2 linked regions of the Nothobranchius furzeri genome follow. The protein of the gene in region 1 purifies or fractionates together with the protein of each later gene. This does not show direct contact. Links are inferred from orthologs where the notes say so. Each region holds a gene or a part of one and is shown on either strand. Other genes may lie near its edges.

Region 1 (3,814 bases):
AGCCACAGCATCAGACTCCTGAGCAAGAACACAGATCAGAGAATACTCAACATGTATCAAGACACGATGGACACCAGATCCTTCAGATGAGACTTTTTAAATATTCCACCATCACACCTGCTGTTTCTGCTTTAACTTGGTACTGAAGGCATCAGCTTTGGTCTTGGCTGCGTTGAGTTTCTGCTGGGCGGCCTTCAGCTCCTTCTCCCTCTCAGCCTCGGCGTTTCTCATTTTGTTCTCCAGCACCTTGTATTTCTCCTCGGCCCGCTTCTGGACCTCTTTGGTGACTCGTAAGGTCTCTTCGCTCTCCTCTGGTCAGACAAACACACACACATTTCTTTAGCACAAAACCATCCAGAGTATTTCAGCCAAGGAGAAAACTTTGAGCGCTAACCGATGGCTTTGCGAAGCCTCTCCAGCTCCTCTTGCTGCTGGTGGAAGGAGCTCTGCTGCACTTTAGCCAGCAGGATCTGTTCCTCCTCCGCTTTGAGCTCGTGCTCCTGCTTCAGCTGTCGGTACCTGCAGGGAGCGCATTATGACGGAGAGAGAGGATTACATTAAAGAGAGGTGATCATCTTATTTTACAATTTAAATAAAAGTGAAGCGTCTTTGGTTGAATCTTCTCAACAACGTTATGTGCCGCCTCGTGCAATATTATCAGACCTCACAGCATCTGTGATGGGGGTGACTCCCAGCTTACTAACTTACCAGCTTGCTTCTCACACCAAACCTTCTGTCAGGAATCTTGGTGGGACCTTTGACCCAGCTCTCACCCTGGATTCTCATGTCAGTTCTCTTGTTCGCTCTTCCTTCTTGCATCTCAGGAACATTGCTAAGCTGAGTCCCATTCTGTCCCGCTCTGAACTTGAGACAGTTCTCCACACCTTCATCTCCTCACGCTTAGACTACTGTAACTCTCTTTTCACGTGTCTGAGCAGAACCTCCCTGAACCGTCTACAGGTGGTTCAGAATGCCTGTGCTCGGCTTCTGACCAAGTCCTCCAAACACACCCACATCACCCCGCTTCTCCTCCAGCTTCACTGGCTGCCAGTCAACTTCAGGGTTCATGTCAAGATCCTGGTTCTGGTCTATAGGGCCTTACATGGACAAGCACCATCTTACATTGGTGATCTTCTTAGTCCCTACACCCCCAGCAGGTCCCTGAGGTCCAGTGATCAAAGCCTACTGGTTGTGCAGCACCAGGCTAAAGATTAAAGGTGACAGATCATCTGCTGCTGTGGCCCCCAGACTCTGGAGCTCTCTCCCCCTGAGCCTGAGATCAGTGGACTCAGTGGTCTCCTTTAAAAAGCAGCTGAAGACTCACTTGTTCAAGCTGGCTTTTGTATGACCTTCTTCACCTCTCTCTCTCTATTCTGCTCCTCCCACCTATTCCACCTTCCTCAGGATCCACTGATCTCCCTCTTTCCTATTCACTCTCTCTTTCTTTACATTTTTTCTTTTAAATCCCAATTGCCTATTCTTGCTCATTTTAAATATATTTTTAAACATTTTCTAAATGCTTTTTTTATATTTTAACATTTTTTTGTTTTTGTGAAGCGCCTCGTGATTTTTATCTTGAGAGGCGCTATAGAAATGATATTTTCGGGTGGGATGGAGGGGATTCTTGGGGTGGGGAAGGGGGTTGATGTATTTTGTTCTGTTTTAATCTGAAATTCATAATAAACATATTTGAAAAAAAAAAAGAAATGATATTTTCTTCTTCTTACGCACCGCATTTACAGTCAAAATCTGTAAACCTGACGCGAGTTGTAGCAGCTCGTGTGTTTGGTCAGCCGAGGCGACCGTCTAAATCTGCGTCGACTCCAAAAGTGAATCAGTCATAGATCCGTTAATTACGTCCTAAAAGTTTAATTTTCTAGGGGCTCGCGAGGTATTTTTGTACACACGCACACGCACACACACACACACCAAAAACATTGTCCCTTTCAGATATTCAGCGTACTTCTCAGCGGTTCCCTTAAGGCGGGCCAGTTCCTGCTCTGTTCCCTGGAGTTGAGCCTCTTTGTTGTTCAGGTTGTCCTGAACGTCCTTTACCTCCTGCAGGCTGGACAGAACCGACGCAGACTGAGAGCGAGCACCTGGACGACAAAACAGAGGAGTTGTTTTTACAGATGCACGTGAAGAAATACAAATCTGACCAACTAGAACTCTAAACATCATCTCTCCGCCATTTCGTCGTTCTCACCTCCACTCAGAGTTCCCTGTGGGTCGAAGATGTCCCCTCCAAGGGTAACCGTCTTGGTCAGCACCTGCTTATCAAAAGCCACTTTTTTGGCGTTGTCCAAAGTGTCACAAACCAGCGTGGAGCCAAACACGTACTCCATGGCTTTACGCAGGTCAGACTCATAGCCAACGAGAGACAGAGCCGTGTGAACGTTATCAGCGCCAACCTGGTAGAAGAAAACAAACGATAGATTAGAGCATAGATTAGATAATCCCAGATTTCTCCGCTCACGCCAGTTGTCCCACCAGTTTCTTTGCTGTGGTGATGACTTTGTCATTGAGCGTCTTGGCAGAGATCTTGTTCAGGGGGATGATGGTGTACCGCCGCTGCAGCTCCCCTTTCTCCAGCAGCTTTTTACCCGTCACCTACAGAAAAAACCCAAATCGGAGTCAACCCCCAGCTCACACAGGGGCTCATCGTGACGCCGCATCAAACACAATCCCACCTCAGTGTCGACAACGATGTTATAGAGCCGTCCGCCTGCCACCACCTCCAGAGCCGTGGCGTAAGTGACGTCGCTGACGGAGATCAGGTTAGCGAGCAGACCTTTCACCTTAGCGCGGTCCCACCCTTGCTCTGGATCTCTGAGACAGCAGGCAGACATAAACGAACACTCAGCCACCTCTCACTGACATTCTCGTGCAAAGCCTAATCTCTGGTGATAACATAGTAATTTTAGAAAAATGAAGAACAACCCAAAACCCAGGAAATGGCCTTCTAAAGGACTTTTCCCAATGCAAGTAAAGTCTCTTCACATCTCTCTGCAAACAATCAGATTCACCTCTCCCTAAAAAAAGATGTTTACATGTAAATAAATGATGTAAATGCATGGATGGAACTGAACTTCATGAGGTTTAATCTGACATCTTCATCTCTTCTACCAGGTTGGCGCTGATAACGTTCACACGGCTCTGTCTCTCGTTGGCTATGAGTCTGACCTGCGTAAAGCCATGGAGTACGTGTTTGGCTCCACGCTGGTTTGTGACACTTTGGACAACGCCAAAAAAGTGGCTTTTGATAAGCAGGTGTCCATGCTGTCGAGAGCCCACCTGGAGCGGGTACTGCATGCCTTTGTTATTTCTAGGCTTGATTATTGCAGCTCTCTCTATGCAGGGTTGTGTCAGTCATCACTGCGTCGCCTACAGGTTGTGCAGAACAGCACAGCCAGGTTCCTGACTGGGACCAGGAAACTGGACCACATCAGTCCGGTTCTGGCCTCCTTGCACTGGCTTCCGGTTTGCTATCGTTCACAATTCAGACTCCTCGTCTTTGTTTTTAATTTCTTCCAGGGTGGTGCTCCCCCCTATCTGGCCTCACTCCTGAACAGACATTCCCCATCACGCGCTCTGCGCTCCTCTGACCAAGGCCTGCTCGCTGTCCCTCGTTCTAGGTGTCGTACCCGTGGGGACCGGGCTTTCTCAGTCCTAGCACCGTCACTCTGGAACCAGCTGCCACCCTCAGTTAGGCTGTCCCCATCTCTGCCAGTCTTCAAGAGTCGCCTAAAAACACACCTCCTCCGCTTGGCGTTTCCTGAATGTATTTGAGTTAGGCCGTCATTTATGTTGATTT
Region 2 (4,241 bases), about 29 Mb from region 1:
ATTAGAAATATGAATATAATTTAATAATATAAATACAAATATGAAACACCAACTGGTAGGTTAGAAAGGTCAATAGTAATCTCAAGTGATCTGTTTTCAATAGTGTTTATTTATTTTTACAACCCTAAGAAGGTGCTATACAAATAGGACAATAGATGCCTGCGGGCAACATACAATTACAAATAAAAAACAGCTAAATTAAAAACAATAATTTGAATGCATTGCTACTTCAGTCGGATATTAATCAGGAAGGGAGGCATCCACCCGCCCGTCCATCCTCTGCATCCACGTCAAGTCATGTCTCCATGTGTGGAATGGAGGTGGCTGCATCTACAATCAGTATGGAGCTAGGATTGGGACAATATTCAGCGTAACTTGTACCAAGTTTTGTAACTTCGAACTTCATCACATGTAACTTTGGATTTGTAACTTGTAACTTTAGTTTTCTAACTTGTAATTCTCAATTTGTACTTGTATTTCTTGTTTTGTAACAGGAAATTTTCATTTTGTACATGTCTTTTTTATTTTGTAAAATCAAACTTTTATTTTGTACATTTACTACTCATTTTGTAACATCAAACATTCATTCAGAAACATGAAACTTTCGTTTTGTAACTAGCAGACTTCCAAATTGAAAAAAATCAAGGTACAAGTTTGAAATCAAAACTCTCAAAACACACATTTCATTATACAGGTACAAACCTCAAATCTACAGCAGATCTTTTTGTCTCTATTCTAGCGTCAGTGGGAGGAACTTGGGTGGAACCAATGAGAGCATGAGTCTTAGCTACCAATCACGTTTCTCGAATTCCTGTCCAATCATTGGGAGAGGAGGGCAGGGTTCTGTCAGAGCTGTAGAGGGAGGGTTAGCTCCATAAATCAGCATCAACACAAACACCAACTAACTCAAATTTTTGCGCTTACCTTTCTATTTGCTGACATAGTTTTGGGGCCACTTAGGACTCAAACCCACAGCCTTCTCCAGTCCACGGGGCGTCTATGATGTCTGTGGTGAAGACCATCACAGATGTCATACAGACAGAGGTTTTATTTGTGGTGTTTTGTCGCCATCAAGTGGTTAGTGTTGTCGGGACAGTAGCGAAGGCAGCGTCAGGAACGTTTTAACGTCAGCACGTAAACTTTCCATCCAAATTTGCGCGGGTATGCAGCTGCGGCAGTAGAATGCCATATCCCTGTCGTGAATCCTGAAAACATTAATTAAAAGGTAATCGATCGCGTGAATGGGTTTTATTCCTCGTTTTTCATCATTGTATTACTTTTTTCGACGATTTTTGATAAGTGTGGTGTTTTAAATGAGTAAAAAGCATTTTTTGCTAACGTTTCACGGGCAGCCATGTTTGTTTTGGTTTTGGTATAGTAATAGAATCTGCTGGAAGCAGAAACTAATGTTTCTGGACTTTCTTCTACGTTTTGGGTCACTTTGGAACCAGGAATCATGTCCAAGCGAGAAGCGTTTTTAGACGGCGTCTGCAAGGAAAACGTGGAGGACTTCCTTCGTTTTATTCAGCTTCATGTAAGTAGCTACTGTTCATTAACAAAGATGGTGTTTTGTTTGCTCGGCGATTTCATGACTCGTGTTATAAGAATTATTAAAATAATAAGTTAAATTCTGGACATAGACGCAAGAAACAAACGCATAAAAGTTGCTTTAGTTGAAAAAAAACCTGTTTTTTTATTTTAAAAATTGTATAATTTAAAATAGCGAAATTAAATAGACATTTCTAGTGTTAAGTGTGTTTTTATTGATTTTTCACAGTAAAACTACAAATTATTGTCGTCTAATTGGATTTAAAGTCCTACCTTATTTGCATTTTTGTTGCACAACATCCCATAATACACACAATTGATTTCTATTTGATACAAAATGAGACATCTGCAGTAGCCTGGGTCCGTTGGGGCTTTGTTAGGGGGATGAATCCGGTTCATCTGAGTTTACGCCAATAAAGGAAAGTTTTTATTTGGGCAAAAATGATGATGTCCTCCTCACAAACCAAATTCTGAGCTCGTTCAATGGGATAAAGAGGAGATAAGCCTCCATCCAGGGACCAAAGTACATCATTTGGTAAACAGGGTCTTAATAAACGAAGGAGCTTGAACGTCCATTTATCTGCAGTTCATTTAGTTATTAGTTTTAAAATATTGTGTCTTTAAGTCTCAAAATATTCAAATATTTTGATGAAATTAAATACCTCCAACGATCTTTAATACAACATCAGGCCAAGGCGGGGACGCTTTTTGTAAACATGGAGGCTTTCTGGGTATGTGCTTCCAGGAAATCTGTGGCTGAGATAATAAATCTGTGCGTCTTTCTGAGCAGAAGGACAAAACGGAGCCCTTTGATGTGGAGGAGGTGGTGCAGGAGATGTCCAGAGAGCAGAGGCTGGCTCTGTGGAGGAGGCTGGAGACCCTCCTGCAGGACGTCTTGCTGGAGTTACCTCCACAGCGCTGGGAGGAGCACATGCAGCAGGAGTCGGCTCCGGATCCCGTGAGTCTGTTCAGTCGTAGCAGGAGATTCCTGATAGCAGGCTTTGATCTAGGAAGCTATGGCTATAGAGTGTGAAAAACCTTTTGGGGAGATCTTAGTTTTAGATATTTTCCCCAAAACCTTTCCTACAGAAACAAGTCGTAGCTGTTGTGGACGGTGTGACGTTAGTGGCTACGACGTCCCTGAAGGTTTTACAAGACGGTGACACCTACGACGCACTTTTGCAGATTGCCCACAGGCTTCATGGTGAGTGTTTTTAAAAACTTAATCCAGTCTAACATATTCAGATTTAACAAATTAATTGGGAGTTTTAAGAAACATCTCCCCCCCCGATCGCGCTTAGATAATCCTAAATCCAGTTGAATCAACATTAGCTCCATCTTTCTGGGGTTTTTGTTTTGTCTCTCCTATCAGATGTTTTGGTGTCACTCCCCGAGTCGCAAGCTCATTTGCAGCTCCACATACAAACTCTGTTTGAGGCGTGGTGGAAGAAAGGGCTGCAGGAGAGAGAGAAGTTTGGCCATGTGACCTTTCTCATCTCTCTGCAGAAGAGCTTCACCTTACAGAAACCGGTTCGTTCATCCTGCTTTCACATTTCCCATTCCTCCTGAGACCTGATTTCATTTGCAGCTCGTTTTTGTTTTCAGGGGGCTGAGATCCAGCGAGTGTGGAGTCTCCACAAAGTGCTCCTGACTCTGGATTACGAGTTGGACAACAAGCAGCTCACCGACCTGCTGCTCCAGTGCGTCCAGCATCCTACGTACATCAGAAACGACGACGTGAGTCGAGCGGATTAGGGTCGCCTGCCTCTGTCCATGATCTGTCCTGATGATGTGTTTATCTTCACAGGGAAAGCGATTCCTTGTGTTTCTTTTCAGCTGGAATGTGGATTTCATCTGGGTTATTCATGGAACCATCAAGAACCAGCTCCAGTTTTACAACAAGTATGAAGCCTAAGTTAGTCTCAGCTTCTATTGGGTTTACAATCTACTTCGATTTCGTCTGATTTTCCCCTTTTTTCCAGAGGCATGATCTCTCAGATTTCAGAGATCTACTTCAGAGCTTGGAAGAAAGCTAGCGGGGCCTTCCTGGAAAAGATCGAGAACTCCTGCATTCAGGACTTTATGCAGAACGCCATCGTTCTCCATCGAGCATCTCCTGTTCACTCCAAAGTCCGACAGGTAGGATGTTAAATAAGCTTTTTAAACGCTTAACCCTCATTCACGTCTAACTTTCTGTTCGTTCTTGTAGATTATGAGCTACTTTCACTCCAGGAAGGGCTGCCACAGCGTGGACAAGATGCTGTTTGATCTGTACAAGCCGATACTCTGGAAAGCTCTGAGCGTATGCCGACATAAACACAGTTTGTACTGATTTAAGGTGAGTTTGTTTTCTGACGTCTGCTTGATTTGTTCAGGTTCCAAACTTTGAGGTACGCGCAAACGCCACCTTGCTTTTCACCGAGGCCTTCCCGATCCACGACCCAGACCAAACCAACACGGAAATAGACACAAACATCCAGAAACAGCTGGACACAGCAATGGTAGGGATTCTCTAAGAGACTCGTGGAGGGATATGGTATCAGAGTAACAGTCTGCGTCCTCTCCAGAGCCTCCTTGATGACCCTCACCCCACCGTACGCTCCAACGCCATCCTGGGCGTCTGTAAGATCCTGGCTAAGTGCTGGGAGCTCCTCCCTCCTGGCGTCATCTTAGACTTTATAAAGAAGCTGTTG

What was found.
Region 2: the proteins of smc2 (region 1) and ncapg2 purify together in Homo sapiens (affinity purification with western blotting; 4 studies listed by BioGRID and IntAct, with this or other methods). This does not show direct contact. The link is inferred for Nothobranchius furzeri from reciprocal best matches to the Homo sapiens genes SMC2 and NCAPG2.

What each region holds. Positions count from the first base shown.
Region 1 is NC_091747.1:76,181,443-76,185,256, reverse strand, and holds part of smc2 (structural maintenance of chromosomes protein 2), read right to left. Parts: intron 2,830-3,814; coding exon 2,691-2,829; intron 2,611-2,690; coding exon 2,491-2,610; intron 2,412-2,490; coding exon 2,207-2,411; intron 2,100-2,206; coding exon 1,964-2,099; intron 520-1,963; coding exon 395-519; intron 312-394; coding exon 118-311; intron 19-117; coding exon 1-18. UniProt on the Homo sapiens protein: Central component of the condensin complex, a complex required for conversion of interphase chromatin into mitotic-like condense chromosomes.
Region 2 is NC_091747.1:47,249,714-47,253,954, forward strand, and holds the start of ncapg2 (condensin-2 complex subunit G2), read left to right. Parts: upstream 1-1,140; 5' UTR 1,141-1,225; intron 1,226-1,451; 5' UTR 1,452-1,456; coding exon 1,457-1,534; intron 1,535-2,338; coding exon 2,339-2,506; intron 2,507-2,637; coding exon 2,638-2,752; intron 2,753-2,920; coding exon 2,921-3,078; intron 3,079-3,153; coding exon 3,154-3,285; intron 3,286-3,355; coding exon 3,356-3,450; intron 3,451-3,530; coding exon 3,531-3,687; intron 3,688-3,757; coding exon 3,758-3,850; intron 3,851-3,923; coding exon 3,924-4,049; intron 4,050-4,115; coding exon 4,116-4,241. UniProt on the Homo sapiens protein: Regulatory subunit of the condensin-2 complex, a complex which establishes mitotic chromosome architecture and is involved in physical rigidity of the chromatid axis.